Linked DNA regions of Drosophila melanogaster. The protein of the gene in region 2 interacts with the protein of the main gene of each other region in a pairwise test. Each region holds a gene or a part of one and is shown on either strand. Other genes may lie near its edges.

Region 1 (3,755 bases), on a different chromosome or scaffold from region 2:
CCAAACAGAGTGCTCGGAATAAGCTAGGCTGGTATTATGAATCAGCGTCGGATGGACGGATATACTCACCTTTTAGTGCAAAAATATTTCCTTCAAATTGTTTCGTTGTTGCTGCTGCTGTTGCTGCTTGAGCTTTTGTTTATCTCTGTCTATAGTGTATATATAGATGGGTTTGTTTGTGCGTTGTTGCTATTCGTCGATTCGATTGTTGCTTGGTGCCGCAGCTTAGTTGTTCGTATAAAGATATTTATCTACTTCGTAGATACGCTCTTTCGTGTCTCGTTTAATCATGCTTGGCATGCGCCAAGTCAAGCCGTAAACAGTGTCAGAAATAATTAATATTTCGAAGCGTCCCTCCACGCCCAAATAGTCCGCATATGGGGTAATACACTAGATGGTTATGGATTGCGGGCCTCTAGACACAGATACAGATGCAGGCAGATACAGCGGCAAATGCAAAAAAAGGCACAGATACGCATACGCATACGCACTCACACAAACGCACTGTGATCACAATTGATTTTAGTGCCTATTGTTGTTGCTTTTGCTCGGATGACTGGTGGCTGCTGTGCGAGCGAGAGGGCGAGATGAGTGATATGAGCGGGTGGCTCGTTAAGTATACGCACCGTTGGTATCGTCTATTTTTGGTTTGTCGCTTTGTGCTGCTTGTTCTCGGCTCGTTGTCTGCTCGTCGTCAATTATTACCGATTCCGTTTTGGTTTCTTAATTTTTGTTCGCGTTGTTGTGTTCGTTCGTTTTTCTTTTTATTGTGATTTTTCTCTCATTTAATGCAGATCGCTCGCTATTTATGTATATAATATAGTTATTGTTCGGATTACTCTCACACGTACACATACAAGCGGTCACTACACGCATACAGGCGCGGCCAAAATGAGGGGATTATTAATTGTTATTTATATTTTCCTATACTACTCTTCATGTTTAGCCTGCACGCGCTGTTTGTTTTCACCCGACTTGTGCGCCGTATTCTTTGGCAATTGCCAAAAACTGCTCACATGTGCCGCCGCATCTATATTTATAGTATATGACAGCGCTGCGAATGATGACTGTATCGCAGCACTATGTAGATACATCTATAAACCTATATGCAGTTGGCGTTGCTTCCGTTTCCGTTGGTCAAAAACAATAATATCAGCGGGCTGGCAGAAAGACAAAATAAAAAAAAGAACAGACTATTTCAAATTATTGGCCCGATTTATTTAGCGTTTTAGTCGCCGCCGCGGCACAATATGATTTCCGCTCGCAAACAGTTTGTCTATTTTTAAATAGAATTCAAGAAAGTATTCGGGGAGGAAACGTATGTACTTATGCATGAATCACATAATCCCGATTCGTAAGAGCAAAATATAAAGGATCGGGGATGTAATTGGATTTAAACACATTTAACTACGGGACAATGGAACCTTGGAATTTTGGTTTTACTTTAGGTTTCCATGGGTTCGTTGCTGTCGATCGAGACACTATATCTGCGGGGTATATCTATTTATCGATGTACGCCGTATTATGTGAGCATGTATGTATATTCGCACGTATGTATGTATATGGATGTGAGTAACGCTGCCGGCTGCTACACTGGGCGCAGGCTTTAACTTAAAAATTAAATCATCGGCGCGAGCGATCAGTTGAAGACTAAAGACTTGATGAATCGCCGCGCCAGCCGAAAGCTCTTCATTACAGTTGTGCTCTCTGGAAAGCGATTCTCCGCTTCTCTTTGCACCACACAACCAAAAGAATCTCGTGGGAAAATGCGAGAGCGATCCGTTTAGGGTTGTCGAGCGGCTCGAACTATAGAGCAAATATGTAGAAATAAATGAACATGATCGCATTCGTACACAAAATGATCTTTATCCTTATAACAATAGTTTCAATTCGATACATAAACAGAAATTACAGAAATGAAAACTAATCATGATGACAAATCAATAAAACAAGAATATTAACTTGTCTGCCTTGGTTTATCGTGGAAATGTTGCTGTTACTAATGAAGAAAAACTAATGTCGCCTCAACGGTGAAAAATTACTAACTCGATTTATGATCCACTTTTGGCATACCATACACCAAATCTCTCCTTGCATACAAGTTTAAAAAATATACAAATACAATATTGTTAGAATAATTCAAACGATGTTAACAGGATTTGACAGCGGTAGGACGATTAGACCAAGTTGATCAAATGCTCGCGCAGAATAAATACGGAGGTGGGGACAAGGACGAGAACGAGGACAACGAGAATGCCTATTTGGCGGGCGAGGCTATGGAGTTGTTTAGTGAATTGTTTAGCTGCTCCTCCTGATCCTTGTCCAAGCCAAGGGCTGTGGTCAACAGCTTGACCACACATCGCTGCTCGTGCACCTCGCCCTTCTCGTTGGAAGTAATGTCCTTTTCTAGTTTTAGCTTCTCTTCGGCGGCCATCAGGATGCCCTCCTCGATGGTACTCTCGGAAATGAGACGGTAAATGGTCACCGGACGCTGCTGTCCCATGCGATGACACCGATCCTCGGCCTGTTTATCGTTGTACGGGTTGAAGTCGATATCGTGAATGACACAGGTGTCGGCAGCCGTCAGGTTGATGCCAACGCCACCGGCTTTGGTGGAGAGTAGGAACACAAAGATGCTATCGTCCCCATTGAAGTCGGTGATCAAATCCTGGCGGACATTTACGGCGGTCGCCCCGTCCAGGCGACAGAAACCAAACTTTCGTATTCGCAGATACTCCTCCACAATGTCCAGCATCATGGTGAACTGGCTGAAAAGCAACACACGGTGTCCTTCTGCCTTCAGTTTTGGAAGCAACGTATCCAGGTAGAGGAATTTTCCAGAATCGCATATCAAATTATCGGGTATTTTCACGTCGTAAAACTCCTGAAAGATGCACAAATTTAGTCATTGTCATTGGACAACCTCTTTGATAGTCACTTACATGCTTGTTCATCATCTGATAGACCTGAAAGTCTGACATAACGGCTAGCTCTTCAAAGATGTATTGCTCGTTGGTCTTTTTAAAGGAACTGGCATTAGCCAGGCGCTTAGAGAATCCACGTAGATTGGCGTCGGTGAAGTAGTGACGCATCAGCAACGGATGGTTTGCAATGCGGCGCATCTCCATCATGATCGCTATGCCGGCCCTTTCGCTGCTGCTGCACACCTCGCCCTTGTTATTGGAATAATAATCGACCAGCTCGTGATAGTATATTTTCTGTTGACTGCTCATGGGCACTTTTTCCTTTAAATAAAAAACAATTTAATTATTGTATAATATTTATTTTCGCCCGACGTACTTACCACCAGGCTTAGCTTCTTGGGCAGGTTCTTAAGGACATCTTTCTTAAGCCGTCTGAGTACAAATGGCTTCATGATACGCTTTGCTCTCTGGATTTGTGTTTCCTGGAACTGTGAAACCTCATCCTGATCTCCATCGCTTTTTCCCTTCTGCAAGGAACATGAAGTTTATATATTGTTTTGTGTGAAACCAATCTTTGTTTTACCTTAGCAAACAACGATTTTATGTCCTCAATGCTCTTGGCAAAGAATTTGGGCATCACGAAGCAGAGCAGAGAGATTAGCTCCAGCAGATTGTTCTGCAGCGGAGTTCCAGTGAGCAGGATTCGCATCCTAGCGTTTATGGTTATAAGGTTAGCATAGCGTTGCGTGGTCATGTTCTTCAGCATATGGGCTTCATCAAAAATGACGTAGTCCAACTTGCAAACCCGGAACATTTTCCTCTCCTCCGGCG
Region 2 (3,755 bases):
TCGGCAGCGGAGGATTGTCAATCCGCTCGAAAACGTTGGTGGTGTCTCGCAGGCGGTAGCGTCTGAGGTTTAGGTAGTGCTCCTTGTGCTCCTCCACCCGCTGATGCACCTCGTGGAGGCGTCCCGCCAGCGAGATGAAACTCTCATTAAGTTGGCGAAAGCCACGCTTTAGATCATCCGGCGAAATACTCTGCGGATTCGAGATCGCGTGCATGTGGCGCTCGGTCAGAGCGATCTGCTGGCGAAAGGCGATCAAATCCTGCTCGTACTTCGCCACCAGGCACTGAAAGTACTGGAACGGAGCATTGTTCTCGAACTGCAGGCCGGCTGGGGTGTCCTGCGTGCGTTGGGCCATCTCCAGAGATTGAATCGCCTTGACGGTCTCTTGGCGCATCAGGCGGATCTGCTGATTGCTGCCCTCAACTAAAGTGGCCATATTCTGCAGCGCCCATTTCAAGTTCGTGATCTCGTGGCTGACATTCGTGAATTTGGAGGTGGATGTCCGTCCAATGTCAGAGGAGATGGTCTTCTGCTGTTTGATATACGCTTTTAGGCCATCCACCGTTTTTATTATCTCGTCGGGCACTTGGGTTTCCTTAATCTGGAGTGGTCGAAAATAAAATGATTATTTTGTTTCTCTGTGAAAGACTCATGGTCAGCACCTTGATGCCATCTTGCTTATTGTCCCCCAGCTTTGGTTGCGTGGCGGTCACATCGATCCCCCCCAGACCCACGAAAGTCGATGCTGCCGGGGCAGCTGCCTGACCCGCTGGCTTGCTAAAGATTCCTCCTCCTCCTAGGGTTGTCGTCGCATTGGTGGTTCCCAGTTTCAGACCCGTGTTGAAGGGTTGTGCCGTCGCCGTCGTCGTGGTTGTGTTAAAGTTCAAGCTGGCCGCCGTGGTGGCCTGTGGCTTGGGGAAGGAAAACGATCCAATTCCGGAGCTGAGGGATGCTGGCATCGCAGCTGCCGCCGTTGTGGCGGTGGTGCCGAATCCAAAGGCCGGCGGCGCGGTGGTCGGCGCACTTGTGGCCGGGGTGGCAAAGGAGAAAGTGGGAGCCACAGTGCCCACGGCTGGTGCAGGTGCTCCGAAGGCCGATGCTTGCGTGGAAGCTGGCGCTCCAAACGCCGTTGTGGCTGCTGGTGCTCCAAAGGCGGATGTAGCGGCGGGTGCTCCAAAAGCGGGCGTGGCGGCGGGTGCTCCGAAAGCGGGAGTGGCAGCTGCAGCTCCAAAAGCGGGCGTAGCAGCTGGAGCTCCAAAAGCCGACGTTGCTGCTGGTATGCCAAAAGCGGGCGTGGCAGCAGCCGTTCCAAAAGCCGGCGCCGCAGTGGAAGTGGCGCCAAAACCAGGCGTGGACGCAGGTGCTCCAAAAGCCGGCGTAGCAGCTGGTGCCCCAAAGGCCGGTGTGGCCGCGGGAGCTGCAAACAAGGAGGTGGTGGCCGGAGCAGCACCGAAGGTTGGCGTAGAGGTGGCTGCTCCAAAGGATGGAGGCGGAGCAGTCGTCGTCGCCGGTCGCGCGCCAAAAGCAAAAGCGCCGGTAGCAGCAGTGGCGCCTCCAATGGCGTTGTTCGTGGTGGGCGTAAACATCTTTAGGCACCCCTCTTAAGGATTTATACAGGAATTTTAAACAATTAAACTATATTTACTGCAACAAATTTCGAAATTAATTTTGTTTAATGCCTGAGCATCTGTGGTTTAACTTCTAGGACAGAGATGACACTATCGGTGATATCGATAGCTAGTCAGCAGAGATTTATTCGGAAAAATATCAACAAAGTATTCAAATTGATTGAAATAAATACACTATGGCTAAAGATATATAAAGTATTTGCAGCTTCATATAGTTACGATTTGTGATTTTCAAATATTTAATTTTGGTCTGAGGTGTGGTGAGTTCGGTCCACTACAACATGGTTGTTATTTAATATCAAACGATAGCCTTCAGATATTAATATGAATAAATTATTTCAAAATTTAATCTTTATGTATTTCAATTTTAAAATAATATAAAGAATTTTTTACGAACTAATTTCTTACAATAGCTTTAAATACAGCCGGAACTATTACAGTGCGAAGCAGATTAAACGCTGCATTTAAATTAAAATGAATTAAAGTTTACAAAATTATAAAAGAAAAATATTCATGATGGGAATAAATGAGAAAGTTAATGCTTACAAAAACGTCAAATTATTTAATACTTCTGGCCAATACAATACCAAACAATAATATACAACTAAGCTAATCGATATGCAATCGACCGAGCCATCTCCAAGAGTTTCGCAGCACCCAGCTTTCCGGCACACTGCTTACCCACACCAACTAGCCACCGTGGTGAGTTTGCGTGTGTGTGACTTCGTCATATGACATTTTTCACAGTTCGTCGTCGATTGTGATTCTGTCGCACTTGCTTTTTTCGACTTGCACAGTATACACCACGGCGAGGAATTAGAGAAGTTTGGAAATTATGGCCAGCCAGACGCAGGGAATCCAGCAGTTGCTCGCTGCCGAGAAAAAGGCAGCCGAGAAGGTCGCCGAGGCTCGTAAACGTAAGTTTCATTTTCAGAAACAAAAATCCAATTGGAAATGGCAGGGCGACAAGTAACTGCGATTTTTTCACCACCCCGCCCCCGTGCTACCATAACCACCATCACCGTTGTGTGTGGGTCACATGATGTGGTGGAAAAAAGTAAATACAAGTCAATCCTCCATAACTCGAGATATAAATCAAATTAAACTAAATTAAATTAAATTAAATTAAATTAAAATTGTTTGTGGCCACTAAGACTGCAACTTAAGTGCAGTAAATAGTTTTTGTGCGAGTTGGCACTTTAAGTTATGGAAGGTCATCTTGCGGAGGGCTGATTTGCCAAGTTGAACTGATATGATCATCTGGATTTCTGGGTAATCCCGCAGGCAAGGCAAGGAGGTTGAAGCAAGCCAAGGACGAGGCTACCGAGGAGATCGAGAAGTTCCGCCAGGAGCGCGAGCGCGCCTTCAAGGAGTTCGAGGCCAAGGTAAGACGCCACATAGGGAAACTTATGTACATGTAATACCGTGTGAACCCCGATTACAGCACATGGGCAGTCGCGAGGGCGTGGCGGCCAAGATCGATGCGGATATCCGCGTTAAGCTGGCCGACATGGACCGGGCCATCCAGACCCGCAAGGACCCGTTCATCCTGGAGATCCTGCAGTACGTGTACAACATCTCGCCCGAGGTGCACAAAAACTACAACCACAAGTAAAGAGGTGGCCCCCCAAACTGTGCGCTGTAAATTCAATGTCCACGTTCAACTCTAATCCATAATTTAGACCCGTAATAATAGTGGTTAATCTAACTGGAAACACTGCTGTATTATTATTCCATACATTAAAGTGAAAATTCGTTGTTGTTCCATGTAGAAAAAAGCGAGCATATTAGTTTGCCTCCCACTCGCGCGGGATTGTATTATCATTGTTTTGTGTTCTGCCCAATACACGTTGTTGTTTTATCCGAAAAGTCATGTGTTTCAATTGTTTTCCTCACTTTCTTCCTGCTCGCATTTTTCATATCTGCACTGCAGTCAGCTGCTGCGTGATAAGATTTTTGCGGCGAGTTCATTTCATCGGTGCTCAACACTGGCGATGGCGATAGTCACGCCTCTGGGTGCTTAAAAAATTCAATTTTAAGATTAATCCGCTTAATTATATAGTGTATAGACTCGGCATAAAATAAAATGTACAATGTAAAGCAATTTTATGTTTTCTCTTTTAATGG
Region 3 (3,755 bases), on a different chromosome or scaffold from region 2:
TCGCATGGTGGCAGGGCTCCCAATTGGATGTGGACTCAAAGAAATGGCGCCTGCGTGCGGATTTTCTGAACGATCTGGCCATGGGCATCGAGATCTACGTGCTTCCCAAGTATCCGCATTTCAGCACCCAAATCCTGTGCTGCTCGACCCTGCTGAAGGCGATTGTGGGCGTTGCCGGAGGTGCCACTAGATCGGCATTGACCCAGCATCATGCCTTGAGGGGCAACCTGGCCGATGTGGCATCCAAGGACAGTTCACAGGAGACGTGCGTGAATCTGGTGGCCTCCTTTGTGGGCCTGTATCTCCTCTCGCTGATCAAGAGTCAGGCGGTCCTGTATACCATATTCTACGTGGTGGTCAGCCTGCATCTGTATGCCAATCTGAAAGCAGTACGCGCAGTATGCTTGCGAAGCTTCAACGAGTCGCGCTATTTGATCGCCCTGGAGGAGTTTTTCAGGTCGTCAAGGATGCTCAGTCCGCAGCAGGTTGGTACATCGTTGATCTTGTCGAAAAATAAGGTTTTGTTCAGCTTTGACTTTTTTTCTAGGTGAACGCCATGGAGCGTGTGACGGTTGGCCAAACGGTTTCAGTGTCACTGAACATAAAGCTCGGACTGAGCGTTAAAAATTTGATTGACGAGTACAAGAGCAGCAGCGTTATTGAGAACATAGTGTCCTCCTTCGATCCCCACGAGCACTTCATCATCGCACAGACCAAAAAGTGTCTGGGTGTATATCTGCACTTTGAAACTCGTCCGCAGGATGTGCTGAAGGCGTACTTCTTTGCAGTGTCCTATTTGCAGGACAGGAATCAGCTTAAGGAGAAATACTGGGACATTCAGACGAAGTGGCAGGAGTTTTTGGCGCTGGCGCAGCAAGAGGGTAGGGATAAATTGATTTCATTTGTACTATTAGTGCTAGAGCCCTAATTAATTTTACTATGTATTATAGGTTGGCTAATCCATCATCACTTGCTGCTGGTGGACGAATACCGTTTAGATTGGAAGGTGTAGGAGAATGGTGACTTTGATTGCTAGATTTTGACCTTAGTTGCTTGCTTTGACCTGAAGAATTAATTTCATTAGACTTCATTATCATTCTCACATATCTCACATGGCTACCATAGAGCGAAAACATTGATATTAACTAAGTGCTATTGATATTTACCTAGATTTAGCTTTGTGAATCTCGTTCGCACTTGAACATCTTCCAACTAACTCTGCCTTAGCACAAAGTAATGTTTGTAACCGATATTTGATAAGCTAATTTCGCCCTGCTTTTACCCATGAATTTATCGGAAGACATTGTTTCAATTATTAGCTGCTACTAGGACTAAAGGAGACACAAAAGAAAATCAAGAAACTATTTTGTAAGGACTTATTGTAAGTATGCACTTCGATATTTCGAGAGCATACAATACATTTTTAGATATTAGTCATGAAGAATCTCACAACGAACTACGGAAAACCCGTTTCAATTGCATTCTGAGCAAAAAGTGTACAAAGTTTTAAGCTTTTTTTAATGCTAAATGTGCAATAGTAAGTTAAATATTAGCTTCGAGTATATACGGAATAAGTTGGCGTCCATTTTTGCTTAACTAAAATGCTTTTCAATGAATGCAATATATGAATTGTGTGCATACCGTCTCACCACGCAAATGATTTTAACGAAACAAATAAAAGTAAACAATTTTAAGGACAAAAATATTTATATCACATTTTTTAACAATAAACATTTTAAAAATTATACATTCGTTTTCAACATTTTAAATTTTTTGAGAGCGGTATAAACCATTGCCATTCGCAACGGCTCGATGTATTTTATTTATGACTGTGAATGTTATTTTAGAAAGAAGAAGACAACACGTGCGTGCATTCAACGTGTGTATTCTCAGTTGATATTCGTTTCCCTGCGATTTCAGCTTGATTAAGGAATTGTCTAACTATTTAAAGTTAAATAGGCATGGAGAGTGAGCAGCCAGCGGCTGTAAAGGCTTCAGCTCCAATTGAAGAGCCACAATCCACCGAAACAGCTGTTGAATTGGGGAAACATAGCACCTTGAAGGCAGACTTATCAATAGATAAGTTGGAAACAGCGACAACAGGTAAGCTTATAAGCTTTCTATACTATAAGTTCAATAATAGATTTGGAATTTCAATGCAGAAGCTACGAATGCCGTAGTAGAACCAGTAGAAATGGAGCAGCAGGTGGAAAATGAACTGGTAAATGAGTCAACACAAGCCATGACATCGACCACAACCCAGGAAAAGGTGGTGGGTTCAGTGAATAATCTTGTAGAGGAGCAACAGTGTGTGGAAATGGAATTCGAAACATCATCAGATCTCGTGGTCCAGGGAAGTCCATCGGAAGAATCCAAAAAAGTTGCCTCTGACGCTTCTGCTACTGTGACCGCACCTCAAGTTCAGCCCGCTCCACATGTTGATTCAAGCCCTCAAGCAAGTGGCCTCAGTCTGTTGGCTGCCTACAGCTCTGATGACTCGGATGATGAGAAAGTCACTCCAGTGCAGAACGGCGACAACGATGTGATTGAAGTTCCAGTTACGGACCCCGCATCCTCCACCACCGCATATCGTCCAGTTGTAGCTGTGAGCTCGGATGACGAGAGCTCAAAGAGCAGCAGCAGCAGCAGTGACTCAGACTCCGATTCCGAAGGAGAATACCTCACCGTACTTCGGAAGAAGATTGACAAAAGAATCAACACCGTGGATTGTGACGAGGATGACGAGGACTTTGATGAAGATGGGGCTACAGGAGATCGGTCTCGTCGTCGCCAGCCCCCGAAAGTACGAGGAGAAATGCTCCTTGATGACCTTCCGCCTATTCATCAGCTAGAGATTACTGTACCCGAGGATGAATGCGTTGAACTTGGCAAAGTTCAGTCCATCGTGGATCAGCTTGTTTTGGTTTCCGTGCTGCCGAATTCCATGCTATTCGATCTCGACACCGTTTTGTTCCTGGAGAAGGGTCGCAAGGTCCTGGGCGAAGTGTTCGATGTGTTGGGTCAAGTGTCGGATCCACTGTACTGCGTTCGATTCAACAGTAACAAACAGATCCTCGATAGGGGCATCAAAATTGGCGACGTAGTGTACTGCGCTCCCAAAACCGAACACACTCAATTTGTGATCCTCTCCAAGCTGATGCAAGTTCGAGGATCGGATGCTTCGTGGGAGCACGATGTAGAACCACCAGCCCGCTACGTAGATCACTCGGATGATGAAGAAGAAAGAGAAGCCAGGGCAGAGCAGCGAAAGCGCCGCCAAAGGGATCGCACAAACTCCACAGATTCCGTGGACACGGTAACCTCGGTGGCCACGACAGCCACTAAGGCTTCTTCAGTTGCTCCTCCTCCTCGTCAACGCGGACGTCGTGGGCAACGAGAGAGTTTCCGCCAGAGCCAGCGACCCTCCATTAACCAGCACAACCAGAATCAGCCACAGGACGAACAATACAACTTCCATCCAAGCTACAATCCGGGCAGCTGGCACTCCAACTACTACCAGAACTATCACCAGGCAGCGGCTAACTTTAACATGGCTCAGCAGCATCCTGGCATGCCCTTCCCAGTGCCTAACTATGGCTACGGAATGCCCTACGCCATGCCGCCCATGTACCCACACATGTACCCGCCACCACCACCCTTTGCTCCTCCTCCGCCGAACAACCAGTCACATCAGGGTCAGCCGCCACCCAGCTAGAGATAGGTATGACAATTCAGTGAATTACTTTTATTATTCC

The links.
Region 1: the proteins of Nup58 (region 2) and CG13124 interact in a two-hybrid assay, tested with the Drosophila melanogaster proteins (one large-scale study listed by BioGRID).
Region 3: the proteins of Nup58 (region 2) and CG10341 interact in a two-hybrid assay, tested with the Drosophila melanogaster proteins (one large-scale study listed by BioGRID).

What each region holds. Positions count from the first base shown.
Region 1 is NT_033779.5:9,906,982-9,910,736, forward strand, and holds the start of CG13124 (uncharacterized protein), read right to left. Parts: upstream 1,653-3,755; 5' UTR 1,444-1,652; exon of another isoform or gene 1,327-1,443; intron 875-1,326; 5' UTR 627-874; intron 567-626; 5' UTR 70-566; intron 1-69. Other genes in the region: Etl1, read right to left, coding at 2,258-2,884, 2,943-3,245, 3,305-3,451, 3,508-3,755.
Region 2 is NT_033777.3:19,642,996-19,646,750, reverse strand, and holds the start of Nup58 (nucleoporin 58kD), read right to left. Parts: upstream 1,726-3,755; 5' UTR 1,587-1,725; coding exon 663-1,586; intron 602-662; coding exon 1-601. Other genes in the region: Vha13 (vacuolar H[+] ATPase 13kD subunit), read left to right, coding at 2,464-2,545, 2,913-3,013, 3,073-3,243. UniProt on the Drosophila melanogaster protein: Component of the nuclear pore complex, a complex required for the trafficking across the nuclear membrane. Together with Nup54, required for transposable element silencing regulation in ovarian follicle cells.
Region 3 is NT_033779.5:18,696,874-18,700,628, forward strand, and holds the start of CG10341 (uncharacterized protein), read left to right. Parts: upstream 1-1,840; 5' UTR 1,841-1,961; coding exon 1,962-2,103; intron 2,104-2,162; coding exon 2,163-3,715; 3' UTR 3,716-3,755. Other genes in the region: CG10338 (uncharacterized protein), read left to right, coding at 1-485, 548-881, 951-1,012. UniProt on the Drosophila melanogaster protein: RNA-binding protein required for the maturation of the box H/ACA small nucleolar ribonucleoprotein (H/ACA snoRNP) complex and ribosome biogenesis.